4 linked regions of the Diceros bicornis minor genome follow. The protein of the gene in region 4 interacts with the protein of the main gene of each other region in a pairwise test. Links are inferred from orthologs where the notes say so. Each region holds a gene or a part of one and is shown on either strand. Other genes may lie near its edges.

Evidence for each region.
Region 1: the proteins of USP25 (region 4) and RAD23B interact in binary tests that used the Homo sapiens proteins (3 or more experiments, as listed by UniProt). The link is inferred for Diceros bicornis minor from reciprocal best matches to the Homo sapiens genes USP25 and RAD23B.
Region 2: the proteins of USP25 (region 4) and TNKS2 interact in a two-hybrid assay, tested with the Homo sapiens proteins (2 studies listed by BioGRID and IntAct). The link is inferred for Diceros bicornis minor from reciprocal best matches to the Homo sapiens genes USP25 and TNKS2.
Region 3: the proteins of USP25 (region 4) and SYK interact in binary tests that used the Homo sapiens proteins (3 or more experiments, as listed by UniProt). The link is inferred for Diceros bicornis minor from reciprocal best matches to the Homo sapiens genes USP25 and SYK.

The regions. Positions count from the first base shown.
Region 1 is NC_080767.1:16,537,062-16,544,117, reverse strand, and holds the start of RAD23B (UV excision repair protein RAD23 homolog B), read right to left. Parts: upstream 3,013-7,056; 5' UTR 2,642-3,012; coding exon 2,576-2,641; intron 1-2,575. UniProt on the Homo sapiens protein: Multiubiquitin chain receptor involved in modulation of proteasomal degradation. Binds to polyubiquitin chains.
Region 2 is NC_080745.1:57,701,785-57,708,828, reverse strand, and holds the start of TNKS2 (poly [ADP-ribose] polymerase tankyrase-2), read right to left. Parts: upstream 3,018-7,044; 5' UTR 2,753-3,017; coding exon 2,554-2,752; intron 1-2,553. UniProt on the Homo sapiens protein: Poly-ADP-ribosyltransferase involved in various processes such as Wnt signaling pathway, telomere length and vesicle trafficking.
Region 3 is NC_080761.1:55,627,988-55,635,884, forward strand, and holds the start of SYK (tyrosine-protein kinase SYK), read right to left. Parts: upstream 3,019-7,897; 5' UTR 2,843-3,018; intron 1-2,842. UniProt on the Homo sapiens protein: Non-receptor tyrosine kinase which mediates signal transduction downstream of a variety of transmembrane receptors including classical immunoreceptors like the B-cell receptor (BCR).
Region 4 is NC_080766.1:18,039,466-18,046,943, reverse strand, and holds the start of USP25 (ubiquitin carboxyl-terminal hydrolase 25), read right to left. Parts: upstream 3,010-7,478; 5' UTR 2,990-3,009; coding exon 2,945-2,989; intron 1-2,944. UniProt on the Homo sapiens protein: Deubiquitinating enzyme that hydrolyzes ubiquitin moieties conjugated to substrates and thus, functions in various biological processes including inflammation and immune response.

The sequences.
Region 1 (7,056 bases), on a different chromosome or scaffold from region 4:
TAGGTAAAAATCAAACAAGGACAAACCTTTGAGCAGCCAAAATAAGAGGTCTAAGAGACCAAACTCTGTTAATTTTATGCAGATCTTCCTAAAGGCCTCACTAAAATGCTATTTTTTCCCTGTATTTTAGATCTGTTTCTAATATCTTTGGTTATCTAGTTTTCACAACAATTAGAAAGAGGACACTTAGAGTCTCCCTATATTAATATAACTTTTATTATTTCTTACTGGAATCCTACTCTCAAGTACTGTATCAAAAATAAATATTAATTGAAAAACCACTATAAAGATGAAATTAAAATAGTTCTAGCTGGAGAAGCATTTCTGAAATTTAAACCCATTAGAATAAAAGCCTACATGTCATTTTAATGTAAATATTCCATATATCATGAATTAAATATTTTCATTTCTTGCCCCAGATTAACAATGTTAGTGGTCATATTTATATAAATGGCAACAAAATTACATGTATAGAAATAGCAACAAAAAGCCGAAGAAGCCACTCTCTGTAACCTTGAGGCTTCCAAAAATATTCTTCTGGAAATATATTTATAATTCATACAACTTAATACATTCCCTTGGAAATAAATTGGAAAACAGCAAATACAGTTAAGAATCTATACAAATATAATATTGGCTCTACGATAACGTATGCATAAAGTGCCTAAAGAGCTATACAAATCTTGTAGAACATAAATATTTCAGCGGAGCTGTGGAAAGTCATTGCATAACTTCAATAAACCCACAGATACCTACAAAAAATTCAGGTTTCAATAATTCTGGAACTAATTCTGAATATTATAAGCTGGTAAAGTTCCTGTAGCACTAACATTTATTACTACAAAGAACCAGACTCAAATAGACATTTTATGTAAAATTTTGTCTGAAAATGTTAAACAGCTGGATTTTAACTTTTAAATCCTTTAACTTAGTACACACTAAGCAGAAAAGGAATATTCAAGAAGAATTTGATATTTGTAAATAATATCAATCCACAGCGTGTTGTCAATTACTTCTGAGGACTCTGAAAAGTTTCTCATATGTAGTTGTTACCTCGTGCACCTTTAAGAATTTACCACCCAGAATACTTCTACATACAATATCTTGAAATCAAATCATTTTGTGCCACAATTTCAAAAAGGTTGGGAACTACGTTTCTTAAATAATTAAAGATGTAGAGAACTTTAGATTAAACGAGATAGGTAAAATAACACTATATCCTCACTCCGCTGATTAATAATCGATACCATTTATTGACCACCAATTAAATACCATTTAATCTTCACACCTATGCAAGGCAGTTATTATTCCCATTGTGCAGAGGGTGCAACTAAGAGATTAATTTGCCCAAGGTCATATCAAATAAATTAGAGCCACAAATGGAACTCAGGTCTCTTCAATTAACACCGAGGCCCCTGATCTCCACCAAAAATAGAATCAAAAATATTTTTTTAAATATAGATGGGCAGAAAGTTGCTGGCTTAAACTTAGCATTATGACAATCTTAACGGAGTACAGAATCACAACTCCACAACATAAGCAGTAAATTTACACTCATGGCATTTTTAGATTCTTGGCAGGAAGTTGTACTGATTTCGACAGCGGCTCTTTTTGCAGTCACAAATACAAAGATGGCATGAGAATTTACCAGTGGACTTCTGAAGGGTTCAAGGGTTTAAGTGCAGAAGAGATTCAAAGTAATTTTCTTTTTTCTCCCCTGAAACGCTATTAGGTGGGGGTTGCGGGGAGGGTGCAGTGTTTCCAACTCCCACAATTCCAAGACGTCTAACACAGAGGCCTCGTTTATCTGGAGTTGAGTTTGAGCCTATACTGGAAGGGCTCTAATACAAAAATCTTCACCACCAAACAGGCCTCAAAGTGCCATCTACGTGTGGGTGTGGGTTCGATGGCGGGAGAATTGCAGCTACATGATTCAACAATACTAATAAAAGGATCACCAATTCTGGGAGAAAGGGGGCCAAGAATTCATTTCACCACCCCTCACCACTCATCTCTCACTCTGCTGCAGACCGAACCGGATACTTATCTTTTTAAGGCTCATTATCTCCGGTTACCGCCTCCTAGACCTTAGCGCCTAACCCGTCCACGCAGGAGTAGTGGCGACGCCTACCTCTCCCCCCCCAACCTATGCACCGACACCGGAGCCGGCTCCACCGCCCAGGCAGCCCTGCCCCCCCCGCCCCGCCCCAGCCCGGGCCCCGCTACCGAGAGCTCCCAGGCCGAGGCCTCCCGTGCCCCGCCGACGTGTGCTCCACGCCATCTGCCACCAGGCCTGCGGCGTCCGGCCACCGCTTCCCCTCACTCCCGCCACAAAGCCCGCGGCCGACTCCGACGGGCCGGGACCCCGGGCCCTGCCCGCGCCCGGAGCCCGAACTCCACGCTTGCCGCGCCCCCCCGGGTGCGCCCGGGGGCTCTCCCCGCTCGGGCGCGCCGCCGGCCCTGCTCGGAGCTGAGGCCGGGGCCCCGCACGCAGCGCCGCCGCGCAGACCAGGCGCGGGGGCCCCCTCGCGCTCCCCGCGCCCCGCCCCGGGCCCACGCTCCCCGCCGCTCGCACCGTCTCCTCGGGGTCGATGTCGATCTTGAAGGTCTGCTGCTGGAGGGTCTTCAGGGTGACCCGCATGGTGCCGCCGCGCAGCTCGGCTGCCGGGCCTGCTCCGGGTGCTGGCCGCTGGGCGGGGTCTGTGGCCTGGCGGGGCCCCGGGGTCGCCCGCGCGCCTCGCGCACTCAGGAGGAAGGCGGTGGGGGTGGGGGCTTGTCACATTCGCCTTGTGGAGCGGCCTCTCCCCCAGGCCTGGCCCCGGGCCACGCCGCTGCCTCCGCGACTGCGGCCTTCCCCGCGAGGTTGGGCCGCTGTGCTTCCTCACGCGCCCGGCACCAGCCCCGGAGTCTGCAGGAGGCGCGAGGGGCTCTGCGAGACCAGCAGAGAATCCGCTAGCTCACCACAGACTGGTGGCCGCCATCATCGTGACTCGCCGAGACGCGCCCCCTCCCCCACCCGAAGAACCTGGGGATGGTGCCGGGCTAGCGAAGAGCGCAGGCGTAGGGTGCGGCGAGGCTGTGCGCAGGCGCGGCCGGGAACTCCGCCCCGGAATTGGGGCGGGGCGGATTGCGGCTCTGGAATGTCGGCGGCCTGGATCGGGCGTGCGCAGGCGCAGTCAGTGGGCGTTTCGGGGGCTCGCGGGGTTTCCTCGTCGCGTCTGCCAGCCGGGGCGTTCTCCCGCCCGCAGCTGCTCCGCCTACGTGCAGGCTCCGCCCGGCTGCCCGAGTTGCGCAATCCGTAGCCGGGGAAGCTCTACGTGCAGACCGGACTAAGTGGCTGCCCAGCCCTGGAGCTGGGGAACTAGAGGGCGGTAGGTCAGGGCGGTAGGTCGGGGCGGGGTTTAAGCGAAAGGGTCGTGGAAACGACAGTGATAGGCCGGCGCTCACCGGGCGTTTGCTGTGTGGCTGAGCCTTTGTGGTGGCGGCTGATTCTTTAGTCCTGAGAGCACGGACTCCAGCGTCAGATTGCATGGGTGGAGCTTGGGCCTAAATAGAACCACCCATGTAGGGGGTCAAGTTATATCACTTCTCTGGGCAGAAGTGTCCAATGGTTCCTCATCTCACCCAGAGTAAAAGTCGAAGTTATTGGAACTGGACACATAGCCCCTGCCTCTCAGCACATCTCAGGAATCTCCCGGCGTGCTCTTGGCGTTGTTGATGGGTACCAGGCATGCTCCCGCCTGAGGGCCTGCCTCTGGGCTTGCTGTTCCAACTCTGAGCCCTCTTTCCCCAGATACCTGGGTAGCTCGCTGTCTCACTTCCTTCAAACCTTTGCTCAAATGTCACCTTCTCAGTGAGGTCCACCCTGGATACCCGACTTAAAACCGCAACTTCTCTAGCTCCCTTATCCTGCTCTGTTTTTTTCTATAGCATTCATCATCTTCTAATTACCATATAATGTACATATTTATTTTATAGTTTATCATCTTTCTCCCCAGACTGAAGCTGCACAGAGGCAAGATTTTTGTTGTGTTAACCGATATACCCTCAACACGTCTGGCACATAGCAGGCACACAAATGTTTGTGAAATGGGTGAAGATGCTTCCGGTGCCTCATCAGTAAGATGGGGATAATAATAGCACTCAATTCCATTGATGATTGGAGGGCAGTGTTGAATAATTTATGTAAAATCTTAGTACAAGGAACATAGTAAGCAGACCATAAGTAGTTAGCTATTTGTACTATGCCCATTTACAGATCAGAAAACTGAAGTAGAGAGATGTTGAGTAAGGTGCCTGGAGTCACCCACCTAGTAAATGGCAGATCTGGAGTTTGAACCTAAGCAGAATGACTCCAGAGCCTGTGCCCCAGGTGCCCAGCTATTCTGCCTCTTAATAGGGTACGCTGTGGCGCATTTGACTTACAGTGGTTCAAATATAAAAGAAAGTTACAGTTAGACCACTAGCTATGTGACCAATTGCAAAGTACCTCTCTGGGCCAGTGTCCTCACTGATAGAATGTCACTGCTTGGTTTTCCATGGATTCTAGGAGATCAGATATAATTCTTCCATGGAACTTGCCCTGACCAACCTCTCTCTCCACTCACCTGGTATTTCATCTTTCACAGCACATATCTCCCTGTATTGTAATTCAATATCTAACCCTCTGCCCTCTGTCTTCCTGTATATCTACTGTTAGTCACCATGTGATCTCGTCTTGTCCCTTGTTTTGAAATACCTCCAGTGTGGACTTCTCTCCTTAGCCATAGATGGAGTTAGCCAACTGCCTATACAATATCTTCACTTCAAATATAACCAGCCTCTGAAACTTAACATGGGCAAACAGAACCATTGATTTCTTTTTGGACCTCCCTTCCCCCTGAAACCTGCTCTCAGTTTTCCTCCATCTTAGTTCATTGCACCACCACCCACCCAGGTACTCAGACCAAAAATTTAATCATCCCTGATAAATCTCTTGCCTCCTTTCCTCCCCACCAACCACCAGATCTAATACATTAGCAAGTCCTGTCAACTTTATTCTCCAAATTATATCCCAAATTCAGCCATTTCTCCCCATTTCTACTTCTACAACCCTAGGCTAATCCATCATTATCCTTCCCCTGCCTCCCAGCTGGTCTCTCCACTTCCAGTCTCTCCACTTCCACTCTTTTCCCTCAACAGCCTCCCCAGTAGTCAGAGTGGTCTTTTTCATGAAACCATAAATCAAATCGTGTCACATCTATTCTTAGTGCTTAATTACACTTTAGAATAAAGTTCAGACTCTTTACCGGGCCTCAGAGAGCTCACATGATCTGACTCCTGCCACGTTCTCCAGCCTCATCTCTTTCCTCTCTCTCTGTCTCAGTCACTGTCATCCCTCCGCACCACCTTTCTTTCGTCCCTCCGGCAGGCTAAGCTGGTTCTAGCTTCTGGGCCGTTGCAGTTGAGGTGACTTCAGCTTGAAACTCTGTCTTCCCAGATCTTTGAATGGCTACCTCTTTTTCATCATTCAGGTTCCAAGTCATGTTTTACTTCCTTAGAGAGGACTTCTCCAACAACTTTAATAATATATAATAAACATATATTAACCCTTTACTCTAGACAAGACGCTATTCAAGACACTTTACATGGATAATCTCATTTAAGACCCACAAAACTCCATAAGATAGGTACAACATTACCCTGGTTTAAATTTTTTCATGGATCTACCTGAAATTATTATTTTTTAAGTTGTTTATTGTCTCTCTCACATTAACACCCACTCCCCGTCTCTGCTTCTTGGGGAGAGGAACTCACTGTCTTTTTCACGTCTCTTTCCCCACCACCTAGAACAGTGTCTGGAACAAGTAGGTGCTCAATAGTGTGTGTTGACTGACTCCCAACTCAGTTGTAAGCCTCATGAGGCCAGGTGTTGTGTCAGCCTTGTTCATCATGGTATCTTCAGAGTCTAGCACAATATGGATTCTTGATATATGTTGGTTGAAAAAATGGTGAAGTCACTTTAGTTATAATTGACTACAGTTGTAAGAAAACATGAAAATATTTTAGAAACCAGAATATGCTGTACAGAGTTATAATGTTAAAACTTTTCCTGCTGCATCTGCTATTGTCTCTTTGCAGAAAAAGAGGAGAGGTAAGAGATGCCTCTCCATATATCAGGGTATATCTTTTAAAAAATAATCTTTTGCTCATGGCGAAAAAAACACACAAAACTGTAGAAAGGGATTGATTGAAAATAAAAATTCCCCTCCCCAGGGGCCGGCCCGGTGGCGCAAGCGGTTAAGTGCGCGCGCTCCGCTGCGGCGGCCCGGGGTTCGCTGGTTCGGATCCCGGGCGCGCACCGACGCACTGCTTGGTAAGCCATGCTGTGGCGGCGTCCCATATAAAGTGGAGGAAGATGGGCACCGATGTTAGCCCAGGGCCGTCTTCCTCAGCGAAAAAAGAGGAGGATTGGCGGATGTTAGCTCAGGGCTGATCTCCTCACAAAAAAAAAAAAAAAAAAAAAAAAAAAAAAAAAAAAAAAAAAATTCCCCTCCCCATTCCTAGAAATAACCATTGTTTTGAGTGTCTTAAAAATTTTCTACGGGGCCAGCCCGGTGGCGCAAGCGGTTAAGTGCATGCGCTCCGCTGCGGCGGCCTGGGGTTCGCCGGTTCAGATCCCGGGAGCACACCCAGGTGTCGCTTGGCAAGCCATGCTGTGGCGGCGTCCCATATAAAGTGGAGGAAGATGGGCACGGATGTTAGCCCAGGGTCAGTCTTTCTCAGCAAAAAAAGAGGAGGATTGGCAGATGTTAGCACAGGGCTGATCTTCCTCACACACACAAAAGAAAAATTTCTAGATATATACAAGAATATATTCCCCCAAATAGTTGTGACAATAGTAGATTTGCAATGTCAATTAATTGAAAGATTCACCCAATGATATTCTCTAAAGTACAGTGTTAAAATAGCATGTTGTTTTTGTTTTCTTTTAATTTCTAGAAAAACTGTGTGCCAGATATACCCACTCTTGGCGCAATAGCACAGCCTGGACAGGCTATATACCTCCTTGTAAGA
Region 2 (7,044 bases), on a different chromosome or scaffold from region 4:
TGGCCAGAGAAGCGGTGTGTTGGTGCCCGCCCGGGGTCCGAGTCCGGACTGCCAGTAGTGGAGCAAGAGCACTTACTTAACTGCTAAGCCACGGGGCCGGCCCAGAAATGATTTCTTAAAGCACACTTATCTAGAAGAAATGTAATCCAGTTCACTAATAAAAAGCACCTATTAGAAGAAAAGTTCCTATTTATGTTGATTATTTTTTTCATTAACAAAAGAACTTAACTCCTCTGGGGCTGGCAACTGATTATTCTCTTAACTGAACTAAATATTTTAGATGAAAAGACTAAACTGTTCTTCTATCATTGATTCATATTCCTTCCTCTGCACAAATCTTATTCCTGTTCCCTGGAAATCAAAAAAAAAAAAAAAGACAAAAACGTGCCTCCCCTCCCCCAATAAAACCTCCAAACTTTAACTGGCTAAGAAAAAGATTTTTTTCCCCCTATGGCTTACTCTATAATGTACAAACACAAAAAACTGCTTGGTCAGGCAGTTACATAGTCCCACTACCTATGTTGAGCTTCCCATGGCATGCTTACATGCACATTAATACAATTGATAACTCACTACCTACAAAAGAGATCACAAAAGGTATTCCCTATATACAGAGAAAATGTAGCTGGATGCATTTATTTAAAAATTCAGTTCTCTCTCATTAATCTAATTAATAATTTAGATTGGATTTACAAAGCTAATTTTTAAAAAAGTTTCTTATATGCCTGGGTTAAATGCAGGGCTTTAAAGCTCTGGTTTAATGTAGACCATTAGAATTTTCATTTTATTACTCTTTTCTTATACCTTAAATTCTTAATCTGATAACCTGTACCTGATAATTTGGGTAAATTGTGAGGGGTGGGTTGGATCCTAAAATTAGGTTTTCCATTTCAGTCTGAACAAACCACATGAAATCTATGTAAAAAGTACTCTGAAATGTTGGGACAGAAGGGAGGATGGGACGGTGGGGGAGGAATAATGTCAATAAGAAGCTAATGCCATAAGGTTAAACCCCTAAATATTACTATTTTCAGATATGAACTCACTAATACACCGAATTCTTGAAAGGTAGCAACTAAGATCTTCCTTGGTTATTTTTACCCCACAGATCAAGTGAACAGAATCTAAGTAACACTACCCTTTGGACTGCATATCAGTTGGTTATGACAGTTTGCCAAATCAGTTGTTTAAGGGTGACCACATGGTCAAACAGGACAACCCAAATTAGCTGAGCAAAGGCAGCACTGATCACAAAAATTTTAGGCTAAATGGCTAAAGAAATGAGATTTGACTTTAGTATTCCTCTCCTTTCCCTTTCTGCTGCCACAGACTGTTTCTAGCTCTCCTGCCAACGGTCCTCCAAACCTTCTCCCTTAAAAAGGCTCCTCAACGGGAACTCAACAAAGTTCTAATTGATCAAGAAAGCATACCTCCTACTAGTATTTATATTTTAAAACAGGGATAGGTTAAAGCAAACAAATCTCCAATTGGTAGAAAGTGTACAAGCAATGTCTGTGAATAAGGAAATCTTTCTTAACGCTCCTCTGCTCATCCCTATTCGAAAAGAACAGAGAGCTTTAAAACCTATCCTTCTGCTTTTTCAAAAAATTATTTTAAACAATTATGTAACGCACAAAATAAAAAATCAGGATTATCAGAACCATGAGACTCTACTCCCATTTTCAATCATGCATGGCCCACTTGAGGATAGAGACAGTTGCATCTTTCTTCAAAGTGAAAAGTATAAATGCTTTATAGAAATAAGCTGAGTGTCTCTCATCTCTAGCTCTTTTAAATTCTTTAAGTGAATGTAATATGCTTATATCATAAAGTGAACCTAGTAAATATTAAAAGAAAGTAATTCAAACGATCTAAATCCCAGAACGAGGCGAGGTTAGTCCCAGTTTAAATTCTAGATCCAAGCTCAAGTACCTACACCATCTTTCCTCTCATCCCACTACTTTCCACCTCAACTTGTGTGTGTGGCGGAGGCTACCCGGCCGCTCCTAGCCTAAGTCAGATCTCAATTCTCCCAAACTCGACTATTTCCAGTTCTAGTCTCCCCAGAAACTTGCTAATAACTACCCTGATAAACCCATTAACGCTAATGTGTCAATGGCCAATTAAGCTACTCCTCCTAAATTACATCCTTGCATTTTACAAGGGCCTTGAAGACTTTAACCCAAAGGACTGATAACAGTTATAGTGGAATTTGCAAGAAGATAGATTTTGGAGATAACTGGCCTTTCGAATCGCAAGGTCTACTACGTCCCCTACTCTTTCTTGTGCGTGGAGGCCTCTTAGAGTAGCAAGACCGGAAGTTGGTACAGGTATTGTTGATACAAAACAAAGCAAAAAAAAAAAACTTCCAGTGAGTGCGGCACGCTGGCCCCCTAGCCCAACGTCTTCAGTCCTCACTCGACGAGGGGGAGAGGACCACGACCGCAGTCCTGGGGGAGCGCCGGGGGCAGAGCAGCACTGTGTCTGGTTGCGGGCCTGCGAGCGCGGGTGCGCAGGTGGGGTCTGGGGCGAGGCGGCGCTGGCCCGGGTTACCTGCGGCGAAGTGGAGCGGGGTGGACTTCCTGCCCGCCGTGTCGCGGCTGTTCACCTTCTCGGGCGTCACCAGCCTCTTGACTCGCTCCACGTCCCCGTTGCGGCAAGCCTCGAACAGCTCGCGGGCGGCCGGCTCCACGGCCTCGGCCGCCGCGCCCGTGCAGGCCGCGCCCCCGCCGGCGCAGCGGCGGCCCGACATGATCCTGGCCGCCGCCGCCGCCAGCAGCAGCGCCAGCAACGGCAGCAGGAGCCCCGGGCCCGCGAGCAGGAGGGCGAGGCCCCCCGCAGGAGACGCGCTCAGGGCCCGGGCCGCTCGGCTCCCTCCTGTCACCGGGCTCGGCGCAGTCCCATGGCCGCGCCGCCGCGCGCTCCTCGCTCGGCCCTGCGACCCCCGGCTGCTCCGCGGCAGCGTAAGCACCGCGAACCCGCCGTTCGAGCCCCCAAGCGACGCGGCGGCGGAAGCTGGCAAGGCCCCTCCTGCCAGCGCCGCGGAGCCCTGGGAGCGCACGTGACGTCGTGCCGCGCGTGCGCAGTGGTCGGAGGCCGGCCCGGCAGGTTTCAGCGAACCGGGCCGCGCGGAGGGGTTTGTGGGAAAAGTGAGGCGAAAGGCTTTGGCGGCTGGCGGAGTAGGGGCTTCGTCCCAGCGCCATGTTTGCGGTGGGTTTTGGTGAAGTCCAACGAGTCTGCTTATTGTCCTTTTTTAAGGCACGGATTTCCCGAGCTGAATTCCCTTATTGTTATTACACTGAAAAGTGCCCTTGAAAGTTTTCCCTCGATCTTACATATTGTTTTGAAATTCTTTAGTGTGGAAATTTTCTATTTTTTCACCTTCCACAATCCCTTTCTCCTGGGGCATTTCTTTTCTGGTTTCTTTACTCTCTCTTCCCCCGCAACTCTTATTTTGTTGTTTCTTGTAAGGCGTTTCTCGGAAATGAAGGAGTCTGTCTCCACTTGATGGGAAGTTTTGATGAGCTGCCCCAAGATCATTGAAAGGAAATTAGGCAAGCGATGAAAGTTTGTTCCAATTCTAAATTAACGATAATCAGCTGTCATCTGATTAATTCTCTTTCCATAGTTAAGTTTATTAGCTCAGGACTAACGAAAGGGCCCATACGTAAATCGTTATACTGACTTGGCTGAGGTGTGGATACACTGGGTTTACGCATCGCAGAAAAAACTTAATGTGTTGCAATTTTTGTGTTTTTTTTTACCATTGAACCAAGAAAAGCACAGAATTGATTCTCACGCTTAAGGTAGCCATGTAGCTGTTGATGATCATTCCCTACTTTCCATGCACTATCCTCAAGAAACTGGTTAAAAGAAAGGTATGCTTACATAAAATGATACATGTTGACATTTGGCATGCTGACAAGCATTTCCCTCCTTGTTGTTTTAACTTCTTAACCTGTTTTTCAGGAAATGCAGTTTTTATTTGGGAATGTTGACTCACTACTGTGCTAAAAGATAGAGGGTGTACACTTTGGGAGCTTTTTATAAATATGTAAATTACGTAATTATATAAGAGCATAATATATTTAGTATAAATTTAAATTGTTACATATTAATAAAATAAATATCCATGAATGCATCCAAGAACTAGAACACAACTGATACTATTGCGTTTATCATTTTTCTCCCCATTTCATCCACTTGCCAAATGTATTCCCAATTTTGTTTATTATTCCCTGTTTACTACTTTGTCCTTATTAATCCCTTCCCATGTGTGTATCTGTCAACAGCATATTGTTCAGTTTTACATACTTGTTTTTGAGCTTTAAAAAAATGCCAGTCTTTGATCTTTTTTCACTTAAGGAGATGTTTGTCAGATTCATGCATTACTTTATAGAGTTGCCTTGTGTGAATATACCACAGATTTACAATTCTTCTAGCCATTTGGTTTGTTTCCAATTTTTTAAATTGTGAACAATAATGCTATGTATATTCTTATATATTCTCCTGGTGCACTTGTGCAAGAATTTAATATGAGAGGCTTTCAAACTTTTGACCACTACCCATAGTATAAGAAATGCAGTTGGTGTCTTCAACCAGTAAACACACTCACATGTCTAAAACAAAAGTTTCACAAAATAATAAAACAATATTCACCTCTCTAGTGTTTAAAAGATGCTAATTGTGACTGTCAGTAAATGGATTACAGAACTCACAAATGAGCGGTTTCCCAAAGTTTGAAAAACACTGCAGGAAAGGACTACATAGGAGTGGAATTGCTGAGTCATAGGGAACTAGAATGTTCACTTTACAAGGTAATGCCAAATTGTTTTTCAAAGAAATTGTTAATAATGTACATGCCCACCAGCAGCATGTAGGAGTTTTTTTAATCTCTGTCTCCATCAACCCTTGGTATTGTCATGTTAATTTTTCCAATGTAGTGGGTGTAAATGGTATCTCAAAGAGGTCTTAGTCTGCATTTAAAAAAATACCTAATGAGTATTAGAGAAATGTAAATCAAAACCACAATGAGATATTACTGCACATCCATTAGGATAACTACCATCAAGAAAACAAGATAAGTGTTGGTGAGGATGTGGAGAAGTTGGAATCCTTAGTGCACTGCTGGTGAGACGGTAAAATGGTGCAACCGCTATGGAAAACAGTATGAAGTTTCCTCAAAAAATTTTAAATAGAGCTACTGTATGATCCAGTAATCCCACTTCTACGTATATATACAGAAGAATTGAAAGCGTGGTCTTAAAGACATATTTGCACGCTCATGTTCATAGCAGCATTGTTCACAACAGCCAAGAGGTGGAAGCAACCCGAATGTCCAGGAACAGATGAACGGATAAACAAAAGTAGTATATACATGCAATAGAATATTATTCAGCTTTAAAAAAGAAGGAAATCCTGTTATATACTACAACATGGATGAACCTTGAGGACCTCATGCTAAGTGAAGTGAGCCAATCACAAAAAGACAAATACTGTATGATTCCACTTATATGAAGTATATTAGTTTGTTAGGGCTGCCATAATAAAATACCACAGAATGGTTGGCTTTGACAACAGAAATTCATTTTCTACAGTTTTTGAGGCTAGAAGTCCAAGATCAAGGTGTTGACAGCTTTGGTTTCTCCTGAGCCCTCTCTCTTTGATTTGCTGATAGTCATCTTCTCTCTGTGTCCTCACGTGGCCTTTCCTCTTTTCATGTGCATCCCTGGTATCTGTGTCCAAATTTCCTCTTTTTATAAAAGGACAGCAGTCGGATTGATTAGGGTCCACCCACATGGCCTCATTTAACCTTAATTTCCTCTTTAAAGGCCCTATCTCAAGATATAGTCACATTCAGAGATACTAGGGGTTAGGGCTTCAACATATGAATTTAAGGGAGGCCACAATTCAGCCCATGACATGAAGTGTCTAATGCAGCTAGATAGAAACAGAAAGTAGAGTGGTGATTATCAGAGGCTGGGAAGAAGAGGTAATGTGGAATTTATTGTTGAATGGGTGTGGCGGTTCAGTTTTGCAAGATGAAAAAGTTCTGGAGATCTGTTGCATAACAATGTGAATATACTTAATGCTACTGAACTGTACACTTAAAAATGATTTAGATGGTATAAAAAGTGCAAATAAAGTTGAGTATCTTTTTAATGTTTTTTTTTTTGTGTGAGGAAAATCAGCCCTGAGCTAACATCCATGCTAATCCTCCTCTTTTTGCTGAGAAAGACCAGCTCTGAGCCAACATCCATTGCCAATCCTCCTCCTTTTCTTCCCCAAAGCCTCAGTAGATAGTTGTATGTCATAGTTGCACATCCTTCTAGTTGCTGTATGTGGGACGCAGCCTCAGCATGGCCGGAGAAGTGGTGCGTTGGTGCGCGCCCGGTTCTGAACCCAGGCCGCCAGTAGCAGAGCGCGCGCACTTAGCCGCTAAGCCACGGGGCCGGCCCTGAGTATCTTTTTAGATGTTTATGGTCTGTTTGTATTTCCTCTTCAATAAAATGCCTATTTATGTCTTTTGTCTATTTATCTATTGGGTTGTTTGCCTTTTGCTATTGATTTGTGGGCATTCTTTATATATTCTGGATACTAATTGTTTGTCAGCTATATGCATTGAATATATCTTCTCCCAGTTTGTAGTTTGCTTTTTTATTTCCCCAATGAAAAGATGTCTAAATCTTAATATAGTTGAATTTATAAATATTTTCATTTACAGTTGTGTCTCTGTGTGTGTTTAAGAAATTCTGTATTTTCTTCTAAATTTTTGCCTTTTGCATTTAAGTCCTTAATCCTTCTGGACTTGATTTTGGAGTATGGTATGAGATAGATATTCAGTTTCTTTTCTTGTGGCTGCCTGGTGGCATATTGGTTAAGTTCACGTGCTCTGCTTCGGTGGCCCAGGGTTCGCAGGTTCAGATCCCGGGCGTGGACATACGCACTGCTTATCAAGCCATGCTGTGGCAGGCATCCTGTATATAAAGTAGAGGAAAATGGGCACGGATGTTAGCCCAGGGCCAATTTTCCTTAGCAAAAAGA
Region 3 (7,897 bases), on a different chromosome or scaffold from region 4:
CGCAAGCTAACATTTGGTCAGACACAATTATAAGCTAATAGAAAGCTTCTCTGCCATTATATCAAAATGAAGAAATGAACTCTTCCTTTAAAGTCCAATCAGCCTAGTTTTTTCTTATCTTCCCACAATTGCTCAGTAAAAAAACAAAAAACAAACACCTCCTTTTCCAAGTGAAAAAGAACTAACTTGTTCAAATCCAAAGTAGAAGAGTGAGATGACCAGACGTAATTTAAGTCAGTCAGTTTAACTCCAATCTCTCTTTAAGACTCTGCCTTTTGATTTCAATTGCTTCAAAAGAAAAACAAATGTCCATTTGTTTTTAAAAAAATTCTCCCCAAAGGCCAAAATTCCTAATTTTTTTCTCCACTCATTTACAGCTAACCCAATCCAGAAGTGGAGGAAAATGTTAAAACTTGCAAACGGGGAGAGAAGAGGTGAGTTTGCAGATAATTGAAATAATCTATACAGTGAAAGTTGAGGAAGCAAAAATGAGCTCAGATTATAAAAGAGCCCGCCATCCCTCAGGCACAGTTGACAGACAGAGCCACCGCAGGGCTCTGAAACAGTACTTCTCCCAAGGACACACGGCAGCTGTAAGGGGGGACGAGACCCCCTGTGAGTACGGTTCCTGTTTGAAAGCACCTCCTTAAGGATGAGACATCCATCCTCACTCGGAGGATCTCCATGTGGGCCACTATCATTGAAAAGTCAGGAAGGTCTCGCCATTTCAGGGCTCCTGAAAAGGCGGCAACTGCTCATCTAATCCCTGGACAGTGTGACTTTCTGGCAACAGAAATGCAACTCGCTTTCAAAAGCAAACGGCAGCTCGATGGGATCTAATAGGCTCAGTCCCTGGGCCCTAACTCCAAAAAGCTCTGAAAAACAGGGTTTGGGGGTAAGTTTTAGGGAAGCTCATTTAGTGACCACACTTGCCCTAGGCTGACACGCAGCTATTTGTAGGCTGTCTTTATTCCCCTTAGCGAGACCACTCACACGGTCAGCGCAGAAACACTAACGGGTGAGACGGCAGGGCACTGCTGAGACCGCGCTGAAGACGGATGGCGCACATGGTGTCAGGACGCATGCGCACCTCTCTGCATTCTGAGAAACGTCCCTCTCAACGCTGAAATTTAGATTCTAAATTTGAATCCTAAAGTCTGAAAAATCCCGAATTCCAAAACATATCTTAGCACAAGGATTTTGGATAATGGTCATGGACATGCTATGTGCTGCATAAGTGGTATCCTACTAAGAAGTCTTTGGTTTAAAAACGGAGAAATCAGACCTACACTTGGAATATTAAATATGAGCCTAGAGAAGGCTGTGGTGAGTTATTTCTGAAATGCAAATCTAGCAAAATGATCTTTCTGCCAATTTCATCCTTCAGGAAAGGTAAAGACCTAAAGTATACACTTCATTTTTATCCCAGATTAAAACATTAAAAACATTCTAGTTATTAAGACTATTCATAAAATCTTACATATCGAAGCACTCCCAATACAGAGAATAATACAAATCAATTTCTATTTTACTGCAAAATTTCTCTAAATACATCAAATGTATAGATAGAACAAAATGATTTGATAAAATAATTTCAACCGAGATTTCTTACTTAAAACATCTAATATTCTACAAGTATTAAAATCTTTTAGCTCAAATACAAGTATATCCATGCACCATCTGGGCTTTTGGGGGGTGGGGGCACATCGATAAATTTAACTGCATTTAATTAAAATGCTGCCCGTGTAATAACAATAAATTTGTTCTTACTAAAACAAAGAAATCAGATACTAGAATCAATTCCATTTCTTCCAGAAATTCTCAGTCACCACATAATTAATTTTTTTTAATGTGAAGATTCAGATGTGGGACATCTCCAGCTCTTTAAACTACACGCTGAAATGCTTCGGGGATTTAAGAAAAAGAATGACTGCTCCAGTGAACAGTTTTACCAGGTGCAATGGAACCTTTGGCGAGTCAGGCAAACTCATGAAAATAATTTGCAACACCGTTTCCAACTTAAAAAGACTCAAACTCTAACTTCTCCAATGATTGTCTTTCTCGTTCTAGAACATTCAAACGACCAAAAAAATGAATAGCATTTGTACGATTATTTAGGTGGGTTTCAGGTTTTGGAGCCATATTGCTAAAAAAATATTTAACTCAAATTTTCATTTTACTACATGAAACTTTCCTGCTCTCCGAGCCACTCACTGGCTAATTAAGTTACTTTACCATGAAAATGCGCCGAAAAAAGAGGAATCATGGTAAATTTTAGTAGTGGTTCAGAGAGTTGCACGTTTTTATGCAACCGCTCTTTTTTTCTGTAGGAAAAGAAATGTATATAAAAACCTTTGCAGGCATACGAACATTTCTACATTGAGTCACTTCGCTAAATACAGTGGAGTTTTCCAGTGGATTTATGTAAAGCACGGCCAAACGAAAATGTGCTCTTTCGGGGACGAGTTTCTTGCGCCCGCGGATGCCCGCTCGCGTTTCCCGGGACCCGCCGCTTCCGCACTGGGCGCGCTCGCCGGGCTCCCGCAGTCCCGGCCCGCACAGTCCGCGGGCCAGCCCCAGCCGCCGCGCCCCGCGCCGGAGCCGAACCCCGAGAGGCACTAGGCTTAGGAGAAAAGCTGGCACAGCCTATCGTTTTATCCGAATGATCTCATCAAAATTTCCCTGATTTCAGAGGCCGAAGGCCCTGAGCGTACCTGCCCCGTGTGCTGGGCGCACAGAAACCCGCCCAGGAGGAGGACCGCCGCCTCCTCCCTCGCCGCCCGCCCCAGCCCAAAGGTCCTCCAGGTTCTCACGGGCGGAGGGAGCGCGCGGCCACTCCTACCTGTGCCAGGTGTGGCGAGGGCGGGGCGCGGGACTCCGGGGTCGGCGGGCTGTGCGTCCGCGGGGACAGCTCGGGGCGCAGCGCGGGGCCGTCCGCTCCTCTTCGCTCTCTCGCCGCCGGAGTCGCCTCAGCCGCCCAGCGCGCGGCGCTTCCTCATTTTGGGCAACTTCCTTAACGCGCCCGGGCAGGCCCCGCACTTCCTCCCGGCCGCCGCGCCCCGCCGCCCCGGGCCCGCCCCGCCGCCGTGCGCCCCAGCGCCCAGATGGTCCCAGCGCCCCCAGCGGCCCCAGCGCCCTGTGCGCCCCCAGTGCCCCAGCGTCCCGTGCGCCCCGGGCAGGGCAGCGGCGGCCGGAGCGCGCGGGGACCCGGTCCGTGGGGTGGGCCTGGGAAGCGGGAGGCGCGAGTGCAGAGGGGAGAGGAGCTGGTGGGCGCTCCGATTTCCTCCCAGGTGCAGAAGGCTGGTCCTGTACAAGGAAGGGGCCCTGTCACCAACAGGAACCTCTCGCCACCTCGCCTGCAGCCTGATCCTTCTAAGGACCGACAGCCACTCAGGGGCACGCCCATTTCGCTGTGTAGTTGCCCAGGAACAGAATCCTGTTCACTGTGCTGTGTATTCCCAGTCACCAACCCAAGACGCTCCTGCCGGCCGGTGACCAGGAGGCCCCAGGAATCCGCCAGGTGGCCTCTCCCTTAGGTGAACGGCAGACTTCACGGGGCACGTCAGGGCGGGCCCAGCAATGTCTGAGGCGGCCGTGTTCTGAGGGCTTTCATGATTACAAGGCTCTTGACAGTGAGTTTAACGTGCTTCCTTCTACCCACAACCGGTTCTGACGTCTGGGGCTCATAAATGAAGTTTAATCCTTTTCTGTAGTCCTTAAAATGGTTTAAAAACACCTACCTGCTTCCCTTCCCGCTTTTTTCTGTTGGACAGCTCTGTTGCAAAATGTTCCCATAAAACAGCTTCTAGACCCTCACATTCTTGGTAACAGTAGTTGGCAGTGCCTATTTTAAAAAGCTATACCCTGAGCCAAAATACAATAACCGAAATCAAATGTATAGTGTGTTAGTATAATTGCCATGGAGAAAAATAAGGTCATCAGAAGTGTTGACACTTTCCCACTTGGACATTCTCTTCCATGCCATTTTGCCGTCAAATTTTTAACCCAAGTGAAGGATTTTTATTATGATTACATTTGTTAACCACTGGACTTGACTTTGCCTCAAACCAACAACGAAATAGCCACTGTTCTCTGAACGGAGGCTGCGGATGTCTCTATTCCGGAGGCCTTGAGAGCTGGCGGTGTCGTTGGAAGTAGGAGCCTGGGGACCGTCCTGTGTTTGCTAAGATTGCTTGTTTCTCAGGGGAGGCTAATGAGAGGAGGTGAAGTTCTAAATCCATCTCCAAGCCCCCCTCTAGCACTGCTGTGGTCCTTCTCACTAATTCACTTAAAAGTGAATTAGTATTCTTGGAATGAATTTTTTAAATAAAAATGTTAAAATCATCACGCAAATACCTAGACAAAAATCTTCCTAAAAGTCATCACATTTCTCCCAGTCTTTCTTCCTGGGCCCATGTGCCGCTTCCCTTTGCAGACTTTGCTTTTTGTCTTTCACTGTAAGAAATCTCAGCTGTGACTCTGCTGAGTCCTGGCACCTCACACCCAGATGGTCTTGGAGACTCCTGACACAGTCACTTTTTAAAGTCTCCCATTCCTGTAGATTCATTATTTCTTAAAAAATAATAAATATATTTGTTTTCTGGGTTTGCTGTATTAATTCCACCATATGAAGTCTCTGGTGTCTGCTTACGTTGTCAAGTGTTCCACTGGCTCTGGTTCATGGTGCCTGGCTTCCTTGTGTTCTTGGTTACATTCAACTGTGAGCCGCTCATCCTCCTTGAAAAATTATTTGTGGAGATTCGTTGAGGCCTAGGAAAAAGGTATTTTCTTTCAGAGGAAATTTGCCTTTGTTTTCTGGCAGAAGCCTAGGGTGCAACTAGTGTTTGGACAATTTAAGGTGGATTCTCAGCTTATGTTTTTTTGGACCATCAAGGTGATACAAATTTGGGCTGGAAATTTGGGGACAATTTTGGTCAACCTGTGGTTACAGTTTCTCAAGGATTCATTTCTTCTGCTTCTGCTCTGGCCTTCCTTTCATTTTTCTTGTATCTAGGAGTCCATGTTTCCTGTATTCCATGCCTTTCTCTTCCTCAGTTTATTCCATCATTTCAGTGGAGCACAATTTCGAGGAGTTTCCTGAGAAATGGAAGTAGATATTTTAAAGACCTTCCATATCTAAAAAGGTTCTACTCTTCACTTTTTTTTTGGTGAGGAAGACCAGCCCTGAGCTAACATCCGTGCTAATCCTCCTCTTTTTTTTTTTTTTGCTGAGGAAGACCGGCTCTGAGCTAACATCTATTGCCAATCTTCCTCCTTTTTTTCCCCCAAAGCCCCAGTAGATAGTTGTATGTCATAGCTGCACATCCTTCTAGTTGCTGTACGTGGGACGCGGCCCCAGCATGGCCGGAGAGGTGGTTCGTCAGTGCGCAGCCAGGATCTGAACCCTGGCCAGCAGCGGAGTGCACGCACTTTACCACTAAGCCACCGGGCTGGCCCCCTACTCTCCACTTTGATTGATGGTTTGGATGGTATAGAATTCTAATTCAGAAATTATTTTTCTGCACAATTTTTAAGTCATTTTTCTATTGTTTTCTTGCTGCAAGTGCTGCTGTTGAGAAATACAAACCCTTCTGAATCTTTATCCTCTATCTTTTTATGCTGATGCTTTATCCCTTTCAGCATAGTTACAAGTTCATTGTCTGACCTTCCCATGCTTGGCAGCTCTCTCCAGACCTTCTTTTTGCTCTGCTCCTCTGTGGGAGACAGCTCCTGGATCCTTATATCAGATCCTTTTTCTTTTCCCTTTTTGGGTTACAGTTTGAGGGCTTATGACTCCTTCTATGCCTGATTTTCTACAGCCTTCGAGCAGGCGGGGCTTAGCTGGAGTCCTGCTGTGCTAACTGGGCTCCTCCTCCTTCCACAGGAGACTGGGTTGAACCTAGGAGGGCTCACCCCTCATGGCAGAGGGAGAGGGAAGAGCTTACCACACTCTTTTGGGGGGACCTTTGCACATCAGCTCAGTCTCCCAATTCCTGTGGGCCCCTGGAGCCCTCACACTCGTGACAGAGTATTGCCAGATTGCTGCCATTTCTCTTTTTCCCCTCATCTCCACCGCAGCCATTTTTACTACCCCATCATCAAAAAGGGGAAAAGCTAAGGATTAGCAATTACTCCTTTTTCTTCTCTTGAGATCTGAGTGAGAATTGTCAGGATTTCGTGGACTCACAAGATGTGTTTTCCGGGAGGTGGGCTCATGACCCCACCGTGATTCTCTCAAACTTCCGGTTTTTATATGAGCCAGCACTTTTTGAAGTTTACCTCCTTAAGTGCTTCTCCTTTTGGTTACTATTGGTAACTTTTACATTTTTGTTTTCTCCCCCTTCCCTTTTTTCCTTGGGGAGGGAAGGTTCTTTTTTTTCTAGATAGTTCCTGAATATTTCACCACTTTATCCAGAATTTAATGCCACACCATTTTTTTTCCTATAGAATATATATCGTACATTTTAATATTTAGAGTGCAAGGTCCTCAGTTTTCATCTCTTTCAAATTAAAAATACACAGGGTACACATGATATCCAATAGGATGCTTTAGGTTGCAAGTAAAAGAATACTCAACTCCAACTATTGAATTCATAACATTTTATTGGCACAAAAAGGAGGAAGCTCCAGAGTTAGGACAGCATCACGTGTACTTTTATACAAATTATTTTAAGTTGAGATAAAATTCGCACAACACAAAATTCACCATTGTAACCATTTTAAAATGTAGTTGTACCTTTTACAAAATGTAACGACTCAACCCTATCTTGTCTTATGAAGGCAAGTTAATCTTGATAGACCGGCATTGCTGACAGAATCATAAGATGAATTACTTTATCTCAGTGCTTCCCAACGCCTGGTCACATCTGTCTATCTGCCATAATGCCACAGAACGCTGGCTTCCCTCACCAATTCAACTGGGATATAAAAGTGACCTTTCACTTACAAATGGCAGACTTCCTTCCTTTTCTGCTGTCAGCGAGGTTTTGAGCAGAAAGACAGAAAAGTTACTTGAGGACAAAGGATGGCATTTGAACTTAGACCATATGCGTCTAAACCCCGGGGTAAGAACACGGACCGGGGGTCGGAAAACGTGGGCTATCCTCCAAATGCTGCCCTTTCCTGGGCGCGGGGCTCTGAGCAAGTCAGGTCTCCTGTGTGCACCTCTGATTGCTTATTTTTTGTGAAATTCAAGCCAGCTAACAATTATTGTGTCTCTCATTGCCAGACACAATTCTAAGCACTGGAGATTGATGAAAAAGGTTGGGAAAATCTATGCTCAAAAGTCACTCCCCCTTCTCATATCTCAGCAGGTGACCATGCATTTGCCCAGCAGACTCCTCCTTAAAAATATACTTACTTCATTGGAAGGTAGTTCAAGCTGTTATTTTTGCCTTAATGAAAATCACTTCAAGCAAATGGCTTTTTGCACACCAAGATCTTCTAATTCTTTTTTCAAAAGTACATTTCAATTTTAACATCTTTTTTTTGATATGATTTACATGTTATATGACTTACCCATTTAAAGTGTGCCATTCAGTTATTTTAGGTATATTCACAAAGTCGTGCAACCATCACCACAATCAATATTAGAACTTTTTTTTTTTTACCACAAAAAGAAATCCTGTACCAATTAGTAGTCACTCTCCCTTCTCCCCCCTCCCACACAACCCATCCCCTCAATACACACATACCCCTAGGAAAGCACTCATCTACCTTCTGTCTGTATAGATATGTCTAGTCTGGACATTACATATAAATAGAATCATACAATATTTGCTCTTTGTGACTCACTTTTTTCATTTATTATGTTTTCAAGGTTCATTCATACAGCATGTATCAGTATTTCATCCCTTTTTATTGCCCAATGATGTTCCTTTGTATGGCTATACCCTCT
Region 4 (7,478 bases):
CATCAAATATTTACTCAAACATACTATGTGCAAGGAACCAGGGTGAAACAAAACAGGCAAAATACCTGCCCTTATGAACCTGATCTTTTATTCAACTCAGAAAGATGCATTTAATGCAAATAGTATCCAGCTCACTTTACTCTATAAATCAATTTGGTCCCTGGGAGGAAGCCTTCTATTGCTGCCCTAAAGAATCCTCATTTGGTACCTGAATCTAGGTATCAAATTTCTGAGCTCTAAGGATCCTACACTTAGGTCAATATCAAGCTCAAAGGCTGAAGATGCATGTTCGAGACTCAAATTATGGCAGGATTTAACTGCAGCTAATCTGCCCCCAACTCCACCTCACCGGTGGCATCTAAACCTCAGAAAAGCAGCTCTCTGCAGTTTTACTATATCTCATAACTCCCTGCCATGGCCAAACTTCAGCATCAAGCAAAGAACACGTCAGAGGAAAGGACAGCCCCCTGCCTTAAAATATACTGTGACAAGCTACTTTGTAGTTGAAAAAAGACCTATGAAAGTTCTGCGTTGTGCTTTTTTTTAAACTAAGAATTACTATATTATTATATGAAAGATTCATCTTTCTGGAAGAAAAAAAAGAATCCTGAAAATATAGGAATCCGTTCCAACCACCAGAATATAGCTATTTACATAAAACTAATGCTATATACATGCATACACACACACAATCACTTTAAGGAGAGCAGAAAATAGGCTCAATTTTGGTTATGCAATATGAACTAGTTACCTCATTTTACTGATAATTCATAAAGTTGCTAAGTGAAAACAGAGTTTCACTTTTGTTTCTTCTGAAGTATGAAGTTCACTTCCTAGTTACTAGCTTAAGTCCACTTTCTAGCTACCAACTTGGTGGACTTCAATCTATCAATTTATTTGAAGTCGATGGCTTTAAAGTATTTATACCCATATAAGTATTTTTTAAATAGTTCCAATATGAGTAACAAAGTAATACTATGTCAATACGGAAAGCAAACAAACATATTAAGTGTTTCTTTTTTAAAAAAAAACATAAGCAGCTTGATGGAAATACAAAAATAAATGCATTATATTGCTCTAAAAAAATTTCCCCAATATCAATGAAATGATCTGACACACACACTAAAAACAGCATCATAATGGTAATATTCTGGATTAACAACTATTCCCTTTGTGTAAGGAGGGGTTCATTAAACTAGGAAATTAAACTTGATGGCCAAGATTACTGTCAGTAATTTGATTCTTGATCCCATAATTTTATGCATAAACTTCTGAACTAGGCAGATCTGCATTATCTGATTCTATGCTACAGAAGTACTTTAACGAAAATCAATTTAAAAAACTCACAAACTTCTTGCCATTGTTCAAATTTAAGAGATGTGAAAAATATGAGCTACATTTCCCACTTTGAAACAAATTGGCAGTGTTGACTAAATATTCAACACTGAAGAGAACTAGAAACAAAAATGATACCAAACCTATTAAATATTGCTTAGTATACATTTGACCACGAGATCCTGCTCTAAGTATTAACGCTTTATCACATACTCAACATCAAAAACTAAAGTTTAAGGTATTCAAAATAGAATAAAGGGGATTAGGAGATAAACTGTTCTAAACTCCCAATATTAAATGCAGAATTATTTCACTGTAAATAAATTGCAGCCTGCAATAATCTTCTAAATTTAACCAGTAACAGTTAACTAACACACAAGAGCTCCAACGACAACTTTCCCAAAGTGCCTAAAATAACAATGCACTATCCTTGCTTTCCAAAATTCTTGAGCATCTTCAATTACCTCAAGTACTATCATCAAATTCTAAAAATAATCTCAAAGCAAAAATCTAGAAGGCTGTGAGTATATACATAGTCCATTTTAGGATATCAGACCTTATTCTAAAATGAAGCACAGGTAGGACATAACTACAACAGGGTGGTGCATTCGTTACTCACCCAGATAAACCCAACACAACCTTGGTAGCTGCTCACAATAAACTCTAGTTACCCCCCTAATTCCAACACGACTAAAGCAATGTTTTTCTTTTGCCCAAAACGCTTTTCACACAAATGACAAAAAAAAAATTAACTCATAGCTTACTACTCTTCAGGAAATGGTGCAAGCCATGATGGTGCACTTGAGATTCTGAAAGCCAAATCTAGAATAAGAGGAGCATTTCTCACTACTCACTATAAAATGTTTGAAGCTTCACAAACCTAGATTTTTTTTTTTTTTTTTTACTTAGGTAAGTGACCATTTGAATGCGTGACTGAGTCAAGAGTAAAGGGTGAGCGACGGAACAAGGTCAAACTCAGGGGACAAAAGATTCCTGGAATAAACATGGCCAGAAAGGTTTCCTTTCTTAAGGGCCAATCTCTATATTCAAGAACGAAAAAAAAAAAAAAAAGGAAAAAGAAACAGAAAGAGGAAAAGGAACCAACCAAATCCTCTACCTATACACAGAGCCCACCTGGTAAATGTACCTGCCCCGCCAGGCAGGCAATTCGATTCTGGTGGAGACCATTTGCATACAGCAGGCCTGGAATGCTCCTATCTTCAAAACACAAACTGTGTTCAGAAGGGATGACCACTGGCTATTCTATTTTTTAAAAAAAGGAAGGCAGAGGAGAAAGTTTAAGAAACCAGATAGAGGAGTGGAGGAACGTATGGGTCGCTCTCAAAAAATACCCGCCACCGTCTGTTACAGAAAAACAATCGGCCAGAAGGAAGTGGATTGAAACCCCCTAACTACACCCCGCTTCCCACACGCAGCCCGGCCCTGGGAACGAGCCCCCGAAGGCGACGGGAAGGGGCGAGGGAGGAGGCCCCGGGCGGCGGAGGCCGGAGCGGCGGCGGGGAGGCCGGGCTCCGGGCCGAGACGGGGGAGGCCGCCCGTCGGAAGGAGGAGCGGAGCGGGGCCGCGCCGGCCGGCGGGCTCGCCTCACCTTCTGCGCCGCGCTCTGCTGCAGCACATTCTGCTCCACGGTCATGGCCCCCGCGGCGCCGGCGGCGCCCCAGGCGGCGGCGGCCGGCTTCTCGCGCCTCCGCCGGCCCTGGCTGCCGCGCTCCGCCGAGGTCCAGGGAGCGGCGCGGACGGCCGGGGAGGACAGCGCCCCCGCCAGCCAGGCGCGAAGGCGATGGCGGCCGGCGTGCGCGGGCAGCGCGGGCAGGCGGCGAGGCGCCGACAGCGAGGGCCACGGCGGCGGCCCCACGACTCCGCGCGGCCCGCCTCAGCGCGGCTCGCCGGCCGCGGCCCGGGCCATGAGCGGACGGCGGACGCCGGGAGGGCGCGAGCAGGGCGGGCCGCGTCAGGCGCGCGCGCTCCTTCGCCCGCGGCTCGCGGGCCACTGCGGGGAAAGGAGAGGGGACGGAGGGAGCGGCCGTCCGGAATGGCGCTGTCCTTCTCCCTCCGCGACTCCTCCTCCCCTCCCCTCCCCCAACCGCCGTCGCCGTCCCCGCCCCCGCCCGGCGGCTCCTCCCCCGCCGAGCCCCGCCCGCCGGCCGCCCTAACCCTACATTGTGACCCGCGGGGCGGTGGGGCGGGGCGGGGCCGCCTCGGTGCCCCGCCCCCCGCTCGCGGCCCCGCCCCCGCCCCGCGCGGGCCCGCGCTCCCGGCGGGGGGGCGAGGGCGCGCCCCGCGGGTCTGGCCTCGGAGGCAACCCTGCGGCAGCTTGCGCGACGCTTGTCCTTGGCTCCGCAAAGCTCCAAGCCGAGGCCGGAGGGCAGCTTCCTCCCCGTGCCCAGGACTTGGCGGCTCGCCGGCTTTCCGAACTCCTCCGAGAGCGAACATTTCCCTCCAGGCCCGGTAACGTCCCCAAACCGCGTTGGGTCCGGAACGCCGGCTCCGGTCCTCTCCCCTCGGTTTTCTAGGAATTTCACAGGCAGTCAACTTGCCTGAAGGGAAGAGTCAAGTGTGATTTATGCAAAGGGCTATCAGAAGTTCTCATGCTGAAATGTACTTTTTTCCTTAACTAATCATTACATAAATGAATATTGACATTCTCCATCTACTTCATTCATTCAAACATGTGCCAGTCACTGCTAGGCTCTGGAGAAATAAGGTTTATTTCCCGGAGATTTGATATAAATGAACTATGATCTATACAACAGGCAACCTAGATGGTACATAATTCTAGCATCCTAGTTGCCAATTATCAGTTAACCACCCCGCATGGAATATTTGACTGTATATGGAATTACAAGGATAACCTAACCTTGAGAAAGGAACCTCTAGCCTCAAAAATACCTCAAGTTTCACGAGCTAATCTGGGGATAGGAGGTGAGGGTGCGGCTGCGGGAGGGGCGGAATAATCAGTGCATATTGTTAGAAATACTATACTCACATATGCAAATCCGGGTATAATTTTTAATCTGATGACAAGAAAAGAAAGCTTGATAAATGATCATTGAAATATTATCTGGCTTTATTTAATAATCATGGATCATGGTAACTCTTAAGGCTTTTACAACTGTCTTTGCTGTGTACCCTAGATATCTTCAACTACATTTTAAGATCTTTCCCTTGCGTCTTCATATTTATTTGCTCATTTGATTTTAACAAATTTTATTTTATTGATATCTCATGTCTTTTCCAGAAGAATGTGTAAAGTTGTGAAATGGTTGGAAACCCAGAATTTTAGGAATAATGCAACACTTATGATAGAATGCACAAATTTTTTATGAGAATGCTGAGACCCAAAGATGGTGACTTGTCAAAGAAAGCATACTAGAGTCCATTTTTTCTCGTTTATAGACCAAAGTTCTTTCCAACATATCAACTTCCTGTTTCTCCATATTATAGATTAAAAGAAAAAAATCTATCCAGTTCATGACATTTGAATTTAAGAAAGTTAAATTTAACATAAAAATCTAGTACTGTGGTTAAAAGAAAATATTGCCAGATACTAAATTTTAATTTCAAGAATTTGGCAATAAATCTTCCTCTGAGTTAAATTTTTTAATTGTACAAAAAAAATTGCTTATCAAAGCTCACCAGATAATCATCAAATAACGCTCTTTATAAGGTAGTCATACTTGCCCACTTTGAACATTCATTCCCAGCTTACTTCTAATGGTTTTTTACTTATTTTTATTTTTGATCTTAATTGTTGTTTTGTAGAACTTCGAGAAGAAAATTTCAAGTTTCCTTGTGGACATTCTTTTTTAGAAAATGTACAATTGGAATGAATAGAGGATGAGAATTTGAGATAAAATTGCACATAGGACCCACTGCCAGATATCCTAATTCATTTTAAAAATTTGTCACAATGTCAGTTTTGCTGCTCATGAGTCCACCTTAATATGTATGGTTCTTGGAATTATATATCCTCAGGACATTGCTTGATAATTCCTAAACTGTTGCGTTACTCTAGATTGTTGACACTCAGGTAAACACATAAAGTGATAGATTTCACATGAAATTAAAAATTTAGTTCTTAACTAAAAGTCTATTTTTCTATTTTGGATCAAGATGATGTTTCTAACAATATTCAGTATGTGCCTTGTATGTGAACCAGGGAAATTGGTATTCTTCTATCTTGACTCTTCATTTCTCTTTGTTTAGAAAGAGTTTGAAAAATCCATTTCTGGACACCAAAAGTCTAATATGTTGCCAAAGCACATTTGTAAGACGTGAATAAGAGAGAAACATTCAATTCATAGTATAGATTTGAACAATTTCCATGACAAAAGAGTGGTTCTTAAATCTACTTTGAGGAGGATCAGAATTATTTCCCTTCTTTAGGTGTATTGACATTCTGGGATAAGGTAACCATAAGCAATCATTCAAAGAGTAGGTTGCTATGATGTCACCATTGTGATAGAGATGTCATTCTGTGATAGGGTGGTCATAGAGTAGCACCTGTAAGAGTACTATCTGCCTAACACGTGCACAATAAAATGTGTATTGAATTAAATGAACAGCCATGAAGGCAAGAAAACAAGTTTATTTATGTTTTTATAGTGTATCTCTAACTCTAATTTCTCATTCCAACTGGGACAGCTTTGTGGTCCTGGCAGCCATATTGTTTTATATGACAGAGCATATCATTGTTAGCATCTCCAGCTGTCAATGGTGCCTCACACACTGAGAGTCTCTAGATGTTGCTTCTTTGGTCAGTTTATTAGTTTGCTAGGGCAGCCATAACAAAATACCTCGGACTAGGTGGCTTCAGCAACAGAAATTTATTTTCTTATAGTGCTGGAGGCTGGAAGTCGAAGATCAAGGTGCCAGCAGGGTTGGTTTCTACTGTGTCTTCTCTCCTGGGCTTGCAGATGCCACCCTCTTGCTGCCTCTTCATATACATTTGACCTTCTGCCGTGGTATCTCTTCCTCTTTTTGTAAGGACACCCGTCATATTGGATTAGGGCCCACTCTAACAGCTTCATTTTAACTTAATCACCTCTTTAAAGACCTTATCTCCAAATATGGTTATATTCGGAGGTACTAGGGGTTGGAATTTCAACGTGTGAATTTTGGGGGGACACAATTTAGCCTATAACAGTCATATTCAATCTACTTCACTTAATTCTACACTTCATACCTAAGTGCCACCAATATCTTTTTTCCTGCCCCATCCCATAACCTCTTAGATTGGTAAGAGATGCATTTACATGTTAAAGGATAGTACCTCCACGTTTTCTGCCAATATTGACACTTTCAACTGGAATAGTTTTGGGAGAAAGAGTTCTGTGAATTAAAAAAGGAGTCTAGTCTAATGTGAACTATTTCTTTACAAGGTTTACTTTGAAACCAAGGTCTACATGGAGAAACAGCTACTTTGTCAACTGAGAGTCATCACAAAAGTAGAGATTTCTTGCCTTGATCATTTGCTCCCCTTACCTTGAACATGCCCAAAGGCATACTCTGACACTGAAAATGGCCTCGAGTCCCCAGACCCTTTCTCATTTCTTATCTTTCTTCCCCTTGTATCGTGGTAGGCATGCATTTCCCTGAAATTACCCTACAACATATATGGATAGAGGAAACTACATATCAGAAAGTGTTTAATGCACTTACCAAGACCTCTATCTCCCCTATTCAGAGCACATGATCGCTACATATATACAAATTCCAAAGAACAACCACGGGACTGCTAGCCCAGTGATCTTGGGCAAGTTAGTTAAGCCTTCTGCATAATCTTTGCCTATTTGCTATCGGGTACATTCCTTGCACTTCTGTTGCTTTGCTCTGAATCACAGAAAAGACAGTCCCTGCATGGCCCCCATGTTCTCAAGTCAGCCGGCTTCAGAACGGATTTAGCCAATGAGAGGTATAGGTGGGGTATTGGAGGGTGAGAGAAAGGGAGAAGCCAGGCTATTTCTCTTTCTCCTTCTCCCTCTCTCCTTGGGTGGCATCTACTTGGGCTGTACAGACAGTCCCCAACTTACAATGGTTCTACTTACAATTTTTCAACTTTGCAATGTTGTGAAAGTGATACACATTCAGTAGAAACCGTACTTCAAATTTTGAATGTTAAT